Linked DNA regions of Arabidopsis thaliana. The protein of the gene in region 1 interacts with the protein of each later gene in a pairwise test. Each region holds a gene or a part of one and is shown on either strand. Other genes may lie near its edges.

What was found. Proteins that work in one complex are often made in the same cells at the same time.
Region 2: the proteins of AT1G05510 (region 1) and IP5PII interact in binary tests that used the Arabidopsis thaliana proteins (3 or more experiments, as listed by UniProt).

The regions. Positions count from the first base shown.
Region 1 is NC_003070.9:1,627,584-1,631,399, forward strand, and holds AT1G05510 (naphthalene 1,2-dioxygenase subunit alpha (DUF1264)), read left to right. Parts: upstream 1-1,862; 5' UTR 1,863-1,943; coding exon 1,944-2,089; intron 2,090-2,432; coding exon 2,433-2,836; intron 2,837-2,931; coding exon 2,932-3,107; 3' UTR 3,108-3,280; downstream 3,281-3,816. Other genes in the region: NTMC2T2.1 (Calcium-dependent lipid-binding (CaLB domain) family protein), read left to right, coding at 21-171, 245-475, 577-855, 946-1,059, 1,211-1,357; AT1G05520 (Sec23/Sec24 protein transport family protein), read right to left, coding at 3,543-3,689, 3,807-3,816.
Region 2 is NC_003075.7:9,990,495-9,996,519, forward strand, and holds IP5PII (myo-inositol polyphosphate 5-phosphatase 2), read right to left. Parts: upstream 4,031-6,025; 5' UTR 3,606-4,030; coding exon 3,576-3,605; intron 3,479-3,575; coding exon 3,373-3,478; intron 3,291-3,372; coding exon 3,189-3,290; intron 3,025-3,188; coding exon 2,928-3,024; intron 2,840-2,927; coding exon 2,735-2,839; intron 2,600-2,734; coding exon 1,741-2,599; intron 1,650-1,740; coding exon 1,465-1,649; intron 1,377-1,464; coding exon 1,268-1,376; intron 1,151-1,267; coding exon 1,002-1,150; coding exon of another isoform or gene 998-1,001; exon of another isoform or gene 899-997; coding exon 700-898; 3' UTR 507-699; downstream 1-506. UniProt on the Arabidopsis thaliana protein: Has phosphatase activity toward Ins(1,4,5)P3 and Ins(1,3,4,5)P4. Seems to be involved in the abscisic acid (ABA) signaling pathway. Could also be able to hydrolyze PtdIns(4,5)P2 and PtdIns(3,4,5)P3.

The DNA of each region.
Region 1 (3,816 bases):
TTTTGTGTTTCTATTCCCAGCGATCTGGAGCTAAAGCCTGTTGGAATGTTAGAGGTGAAGCTTGTGCAAGCAAAGAACTTGACCAACAAAGATCTAGTTGGAAAATCAGACCCCTTTGCTAAAATGTTTATACGCCCTTTGCGTGAAAAGACTAAAAGAAGCAAGACAATTGTAAGTAGTCCATCTAATCCTCTTTTTGTGCTAAACCTACCAGAATGATCTGATTTATATTTATTCTCATCAGAACAATGACCTGAATCCCATCTGGAATGAGCATTTTGAATTTGTTGTGGAAGACGCGTCAACTCAACATTTAGTGGTCAGAATATATGATGACGAGGGTGTACAAGCATCTGAGCTTATTGGTTGTGCCCAAATCCGGCTTTGTGAACTTGAACCTGGTAAAGTGAAAGACGTCTGGTTGAAGCTGGTCAAAGATTTGGAGATCCAGAGAGATACTAAGAACCGTGGAGAGGTTAGATCGGCTATAAATTTCCCCTAATTAAATAAACCCTGTGATTTTGTATCTGTACATGGCTAATGAATGGACGTTATTGTTGATTCTCTGTAATTTAGGTTCACCTTGAGCTCCTTTACATCCCTTATGGTTCGGGAAACGGCATTGTAAATCCCTTTGTCACTTCATCGATGACGTCCTTAGAGAGGGTGCTCAAGAATGATACAACAGATGAAGAAAATGCATCAAGCCGTAAAAGAAAAGATGTCATTGTAAGAGGAGTTCTCTCTGTGACAGTGATATCTGCAGAAGAGATACCAATACAAGATCTGATGGGGAAAGCTGATCCATATGTTGTTCTCTCGATGAAGAAATCAGGTGCCAAGAGCAAAACTCGGGTAAGTCCTCTCATTTAAAGCATCAAAGAGTTATCCATGTTATAGATGTTTCATCCTCCTCATTAACTAATGGCAATTTTGCTTCACCAGGTCGTCAATGACAGCTTGAACCCGGTATGGAACCAGACTTTTGATTTTGTAGTTGAAGACGGGTTACATGATATGCTAGTCCTTGAAGTCTGGGACCACGACACCTTTGGAAAGGTAAAACCAAACCGCAACAACACTGTTATTTGATGGTTATTATTCTGCGTCATTGCACCAAATGGATGTTTTTCTCGTTTGGTTTATTATTTATTGTGTTGGCATTGGGCATTGGAAAAATGAAACATTGTGGCTTTACTTTTGTGGACAGGACTACATTGGGAGATGTATCCTCACGTTGACAAGGGTTATAATGGAAGAGGAGTACAAAGACTGGTACCCATTAGACGAATCCAAAACGGGCAAGCTTCAGCTGCATCTGAAGTGGATGGCTCAATCAATTTATCGTGATTCCTAAGCTTAATCGGTAGAATCAATTTATCGTGATTCCTAAGCTTAATCGGAAGATTCACAACTTCGAATGTACATGTTGTCTAGTAGCGTCAAACGGATGTGTTTTGTCAAACAAAGACGAGTCTGCATGTAGCCCAGAAGCTGTGGACTCGGAATATGAGTTTTCCTCTTTTTTTCTGAAAACCCTAGACAATACTCGTGTACGTTTGCCTCATAAGCTCAGATGTCATAAGGGGTTTGATCTTTGCGTGCATCACAATCCTTCAATAATTTTTTACCTTTTACCCTAAAATCTCGTCTACACGTATCACCATATTTGTCTTCACCAAGTTTGTTTCACTATCATAATCAGCGATCTCTTGACACATATTGACTAGTCCTTGTTGCTTATTATCCTCAAGTGAAGCCAAATAAGCCACGCACACTCGGTGACACCTTCAATGTTTGCCATGTGTCATAGTCCATGCAAATGCCCACTTCATTTTATTAAGACGAGAGCTATACAAACACCGTCTCTTCTTATTCACTTGCTGCTAGTTATAAGAATCAGACAGAAGTTGCAGAGAAAAGAGAATTAATTGATTGGTGTAATGGAGAAGGCAGTTCATTTATCCACCAAAAATGGACCCAAGGTTCCAGGAGAGCCAACGAAGACCGGAACCTCCATGGTTGACACGGCAGCTTCAGCCGTACAAAGCTTCGCTCCGATTAACCAAATCCACCAACATCTCTGCGCGTACGCTTCTGAAATTGTTAATCTTCTCTTTTCATTTTATCTTTAAACAAGAAATAAAGAAGAGGATCGGAAGAATGAGGGATAATCATAACAGTATAAAACCTACACCACATTTTTTCGTTTAATAGATCTGTCAAATTCTTGTAGTTTAGATTTAAAAAACATTGTATTGATATCTTACGTAAATCAAGTTAATCAAATTTTCTTGAATTTTTAATCGATGTGAACACGTGTGGAGTTGTGTACATGCATGCAGAATGAAACTTAACTATTTCATATGAGTTTGTTTGCATCAGTAAAAAGATGAACTATATATATCCTCTCCTTTTTGCGCTTGTCATAGGTTTCATTTCTATGCATATGACATGACCCGACAAGTGGAGGCACACCATTTCTGTGGTCACATCAACGAAGACATGCGCCAGTGTCTGATCTACGACGGTCCTGATGCCAACGCTCGTCTGATCGGTCTGGAGTACATTGTGACAGAGAAGCTCTTTATGACATTGCCTGACGATGAGAAGAAGCTTTGGCACACTCACGAGTGGGAAGTTAAAGGAGGCTTCTTGTTCATGCCCGGTGTTCCCGAAGCTATTCAACGGCAAGATCTCGAAAAAGTCGCCAAGACTTATGGGAAAGTTTACCATTTCTGGCAAGTCGATTTGGGGCATCAGCTTCCCATTGGCTTGCCTAATATCATGATGGCTGTTACTCGAGACGGACAACTTTATCCGGAAATGATCAAGGGTACGTAGATTTGTCATTTATAGGTTATGCTTAGTCAAATATGCTTTTATGAAAGTTAACATGAACATTTTGAAATGTTCAATGGGTGACCGCAGAGACGGAAAAGCAATTTGGAGTATCGATAGACAAGGAGCGAGAGTCAAGGGCTTATATGAAGGGTCCAGACCATGGGATCCATCCCTTGGCAAATGGAGGAGGCAAAGGCCTGAAGTTGGAGTTGCGAGAGGTTGACATAAAGCCGGTTGAGTCCGTTCCAAGAGTCTTCGTTTAAGTTATACTTAAATAGACAACTTAAGAAGAATAAATAAATAAGCGATCGAGCTTTTCTTTTGTATAGCCCTCCTCGAATCATGTGTATAAGATGTAAAATACACTTGAAGTAGTATATTATGGTGTCGTCTAGTGGTTTTAAATATTACGTCTTCATGACTCCAGTTCATTATCTTTTATGACCCTGCGGGTAATCGTTATTATAACCTTAGAGAAAAGATGATAATACTATGACCAAATGGAAACTACAAAATTTGTTGAATCACACTATGATAAATAAAGGCCCCAGTGAAAAGAAAGGAACAGAAGCGTAGTCTTGTCATGTGTGTGTATAACAAATGTAAGACACTTGAGGCATTTTGGTGAGCGACGACTGCATCTTCTTTATTTGAACTTGTCTCAATTGAAATGGAAGAACAGAGAGACCTCTGTGTTCTCAAGATTGAACAGCCAATTTCTGAAGATGTTGGAAGAAGACTTGAAGACTGACATCATCCGTGAAGATTATATCAGAGCCTGCATTCATCTCGCTTGCATTGTTGTATGTTGCTGACGGATTTAGCTTTGCTAACAGAAACCTTGCCTGTCCATTATTGCCATACGTATTACAGAACATCAGTAAACACTAGGCAACTTTCAGTGTTTCACACTTGAACAATCAACTACAAATTCAGAGATGAAAGGGGTTAAAAACACTGACCTGGGATCCA
Region 2 (6,025 bases), on another chromosome or scaffold:
GTAAACATATCTCTATAGGAATTTTGAACTATTGTAGAGAAAAAATAACTTATTACCAATGCATAAACAAATACTCTTTTTGGCATCTTTTCGGGTATCGAAACAAATAATTAGTTTTTAAAAAATAAGTCTGCAAATGGTTACATGCAAATGAATGATTGAAAAATATGAATTAAACAAAAATAAAGTTGGACATTATTCAACTCATTACAAATTTCTTTTATAGTTAATTTATTTTTCTAACTTTTTTTTTGAATGGGTTAAATGAATTTTTCAACTTATTCATCTCAGATGGTACGAAATGAGATGAATGATTATTCAACTCTTTCAACTTCTTATTTTGAGACAAAACATTTGCACCATAGTTTGTTCTTCAATTTAAAAGATTCACAGCAGACCAACTCCTTTAATTTAGAGTTTGTTTGGTCCATTATTTGCATGTCAAATGGTTTTCAGAGTTGGATCAACTAAATTTATGTATAGCACAAAAATTTTAATGATAAATAGTAGATCATAAAGTGAATTCAAATAAATTAAAAGGCTCGTATTGACAAGTAAAAAAAATAAATTTGGTTAGATTATAGATTAACCGGAACAAAACAATAACAAAATCAAAACCCAAACGAATCCCATGTATAAAAAAAATTACAGAAATTAGCGTATAAATTATTATTCTTTTTTATAAGACACTTATTAGACTCAAAAAGAAGGTTCAGGATGAACAGCAGAAGCAGCTGCGTTATTAACGTGAAGAGCTCTTTGAAGTTTCCGGTGATCGAACACTTCAACTCCAACGTTAAAAATCGAAGTCACCGGCCGGTGATCGGACATTCTTATCTCCGATCTCTTATAACATTCTTGTCTTATTCCTTTTCCTAACCATAATATCCTATCACACCTATTAATAACACCAACAAGATAAACAATTTAAGAATCACCCAAATGTTTCGTAAATTTAAAAATAACCACATAATTTTCAAATGTTCAATTTAGTCACTTACCAAGCAGGAGCTCTCTTCTTCTCCGGTTCTCTCAAGTTTTCTCCGGCGTAACGATCAGAATCGAATTCGTATTTATAGGTTGGAGGGAATTTAATCGGTCCTTCTCTCCATCCATCAAAAACATGCCCTCTTCTTAATTCTCTAATCAACTGTGTAATTAAATTGAAATCTTGTTTTAATAACTTAACATAATAGTCTAAATGTCTAATAGATGAAAATAAACTTAACAAAGTACTATCAAAACTAAACATAATCAAGAACCGAACCTGATCACTGTTCTTGAGCTCATCCCATCGTTTTTGTGAGACAAGCTTTCTTACTTCACCGTCTGACATATTAAGTCGGTAGTTCAAATCTCCGAACCAAAATACTTGACTGTTGAAAATTTCCGACATAAAAATTCAATTAGTAAAAGCAAAAAACGTTTAATGCTTTACGTTTTGTAATCTTGATTATTGCTTACTCGTGACATGGAATCGTCCTTGGTTGATCAGTGTCAAGAACCGATGCAAAACGAGTCCTACGTATGATTTCGTACACGTCAGCATTCCGGCGTTGCTCAGCACCGTCTTTGTGGCCGGAAGTTAAGTGTGAGCACACAAAACACATCCGTGATTGATACAACGTCATGCTAATCGACACTGATCCCTGCAAGCATATCAAATATATTAAGAAAGTGCTAAAAAAGTTAAGGTTGGGGTTACTTGGAGAGGAAGATAGGGTTAGGTTTTTGTTTTACCTTGTTTCCCATGTAGCCCATCAAGCCAACTCCGACCGGTGAGACTTTCAGGTTGTTGACATGTCTTCTTAACCGTCGTCGGATCCAAACCGATACATAGATCCCAACCATTTGCTTACTTACTATCCTTACATACTTTTGACTATCTTTCACTTTCCGACACTCCTCCACCAAATCTTCCGGCAATCCATAACTATTTCTGATCTTGTCACCATCCTCTTCGTCCTGGGAAGACGAATCTCCGTCTGATGAATCATCATGCATGATTTTTGCAGCTTCTTCCGCTTCGGACGAGGAGGAGGACCTATTATCAATCTCTTCTTTTATATCATTCCAACTCAAGTTTAAAGTTTCAAAGCTCCGTGAGCGTTTCAATTGTCTTGCTTCCGAAGCAAATCTACTAGCTCCTGATGGATTCTCCGGTAGCTTAAATCCTAGCGTCGCGTTGCTGCTAAATACCCTCCTTAGCTTCCCCTCTGATCCAACTATCTGAGGGTTGCTATCTAAAGCTAGTTCCGGCCAGTCCATGTTCGGATTCCGCTGTGGTTCAAGGCTCGGTAAAGCGGTTGCAGCATCGATGAACTCGTTTGTAGCTAAATCCAGCGAGTGGTCCGCAACTAGATTCTCTACCATGACATGAGAGATAATGGAGTTTGCTTCTTGTGCCAAGATAGGAGACGACGGCGCGCTGTGAGATCTATGAAGAGCGTTGTTGTTGCAGCTTGGCGATTGATCATAAACTGATTCTTTATTGGATTTGTTTAGTGTTCTACGAATTATCGATTCCCATTTCGGAATCGGACCTCTATCTTCTGCTCCGAAAACGTTTCCAGCGTTTAATGGAACCACTTCTTGAAACCTATAACAAGTTTTACATCAATAAAGATATATAGGTTCATCAAAACAGAGGAAAATACTCTGTTTTTGAGAAGAAGAAAAAAAAGAGTAAATTTTCTTTGAAAATAGTAAAATTTGAAGTGACTTTTTAACTTACCCGATAATGTAAATATCTGAAGGATTATCAGTAGAGAGCCAATCTTCAATCTCGAGATCATCGGAGGGACGTTTTCCGGCGACGTTCCATGTAGCCACCGTCACTCTATAAAGTAATTCCACCATAAATAATAAAGTCAGAAGATATTTCACCGGTAAAAAAAGAGAGATGAAACTTCCAGAAACACCCTTACTTGATATCCTTTGTGTTAATGTATTGAGCTCTCAAAGTCTCCGATTTGCCTCGCCGGTGTTTCCTTTGGTAACCACCCCTCACACTCACACCACCATCTAAAGGATTAAAAAAAAAAAAAAAATCAGAAAATATATTATTATTCTTCTGTTATTTTATTTGTGAAAAACCATATTTTTTATTCAAATGATTAATGAATGTAGAGATTTTTTTAAAAAATTCAATATAAAAATTTTCCAAAAAAAGAAATAAGAATCGTTGCCTGAAATATTATTGCCGTGATCAGCTTCGCTACCTCGACGACCATTATGGCTGTCTTCATCAGTTACACAGTGAACATTTGGGACGTCTTTGACCGAACATACTGTAAAAGGGACCCAACAAAACAATTAAGATTAAAAAACACGGAATTATAGACCAAATTTGACCTAAATTTCAATACTTACCATCGTCTTCGCTCTCAGGTTCTGTATCAATTTCGTCTTCGCTAAAATCGTAAACTTTAGGTTTTCTGTTTAACCATTTATTCATCACAATTGATGGCCAAAACCTCTGTTTTACATCAAAGACGAGAAAACATCAGAATCTTTGTAATCAGAGAATTAAAGAAACAAGAATAAAAAAGAGAGAGAATCTTAATCTTGTGTACCTCAGGACGTTTCCCACGTCTTGTTTTCATCTTCTTAGATCTCAGAAAAAGATTTTGTTTCTTTGGGGGAGTTTCGAGGAGAATTTGAACAGAAGAAAATGTCAGAGTTTGATATTTATAATAGTGACAGAGAGTTAAAGAAGAGACACGAACTAGAGCAAGAACAAGAAGAAAGGACACAAAGAAAAAAAAAGTGGAGAGTACAAACAAGAAGACGTGTGAAGGCAAAGGCAAAGGCAAAAGAAAAAAAAAGGTGTAATGATGAAAATTCTCTGATATTATTTTTTGGGTTCGTTTCGAAGAAAAGCTATGGCTGTTATTTAACAGCCTTCGTTGCCCGTAAAGAACCAAACTGCAACTTGCGATCCACTTTTTTTATTCATAATTTGATTTTTTGGGGAAGACATATTAAAGAAAACTATAAAGACTGTCAGATTTAATTCCCTGATTTCTTCTTTCTCACACGTGTTTTCGGTTTTTGGATATATTCGAACCGACCTGGTTTTCTCAATTCGGTTTTACTAGACTGATTGTACCGACCATACCGAATTATTATAAATGTTTACTTCATCTTTTAAGATAGTGGCATTTAGTTAAAGTAAACCGAATCAAACAGACAGACTGAAACTTTTTTATAAAAGTTAACCGAAATTTTAATTTATCTAAACATTTTTTTTTTTTGCGTATACTAGTTAAACTGAATTAGCAAAAAATGGCTCGTTGGAAGTCAAAACTATATTTTGACAAGCAGTTTTGCGGAGTAAAAGTGATTATTTGAGAATTAGTTTTGCTGAAATACTTTGACCTGACTTAAGTTAGTGGTTTGCTTTAACCAAAAATCTAAAACACATAAACCAAAACCAACCAAAATCCGATTCAACGCTGCTATCTGGATAATATATTAAATAAACGGCCTTTTTGGTATGTTATTAAAAAGGTCAAAATGTCACTCTCCTAGGCAACAAATATATGGATTAATTTTTTCAATACGAGTCTAGCTCCAGCTAATATTTTCAGCCATACAGTCGGCGAATAGATAGATTATTTATTTGACTAATGTTTCGTTAAATAATATTATACGATAACTATGAATTGGAACCATTAGAAAACAACGAAAAAGTGAGAATCCCTCACATTTAAAAGTCTTAAAATTGTCTATATCTTTTCTTTGTTAACTGTTATGTTTTAACTTAAAACATTTCTAAAACTAAATTATATTTCCAATTTCCAAAACAGGTGAATTTGAAGGATACTCAACTGAGAAGATATAAAGTATGGAGTCCAATATGGTATGGAAATACATAACTTTGAATTTCTGACAGCATATTTGTAAAAAATATTTACCAAGAAATATCTAATTAATAACTGAAGATTATTTCAACTAAACATAATCATCATCATAAAATAAATTGACGCGTTATTAAGAAAAAAGGAAAAAAAAACTGACGCCCATGCAATGCAATTTGCGGATAGAGGACGTAACGAAGGTCATTAGGAAAGTTTCGGTTGACCAAAGCTACTTAAATAAATTAGTTTGATTCACAAAATGGCGACACGACGACGCTGGTTGACCATAAAATAGTTAATGGGATAAAAAAAAATACAAATACTAAAAGCTCAGTGGGAAGATTTAAATATATTTACTTATCATCAACTAGAGCGACGGGATAACTAATAAGTATTTGGATAAATTAATTCATAATTTAACCACTGTTTAAGGTTTACGTTAAATTTACTTCTTATCATATTGCTATTTTTGTTACTCTAAAGATCGTTTGTTCATTGTTGTTAATTAATTATCATCAATTGCTAATTTACTATCTATAAGGTTATACATCAAATGATTTTTGGAAAGAACATAAACTTTTTTTAGTTCGAGTCCATTTGATATTACAATGACAATCTCAAAAAAAAAGATGAAAGGTTGATTTCAGAGTTGCAAATATTAGACTGTCACTTTAAAACTTCATTATTATTATATATATAAAAAAAACAAATAAAATTATACAACAAAGATTACCACTTTCCAAAATATCATGTCCCTTAGATATTTTTAGAAAGAGGGTAACATTATATAAAGTTAACCTTTTAACAAAAGAAACAAAATTTTATTAAAACATTCAAATTAAAAACTAACAAAATATATATCGGTAGGAAATTGATAATTTATTTATATTTGATCAGGTCGGTCGGTCGAAAATATTCAAAATGTGGGTTTTCTATCGTGATCTGTAACACATTAATAATATGAAGTAATTAATACATTTAAATTTACCAAATCCAACACAAATATTAGATACGATTGGTAGGCCGGTATAAAGGTACATATGGACCACATACCTGTACGCGCACCCATAAATAAGGAGACAATTATTCCCTAATTAGCAGTATTATAGAACTAACTTAGAAATTTATTGAGTTAGTTCTATAATACTGCTAATTAGGGAATA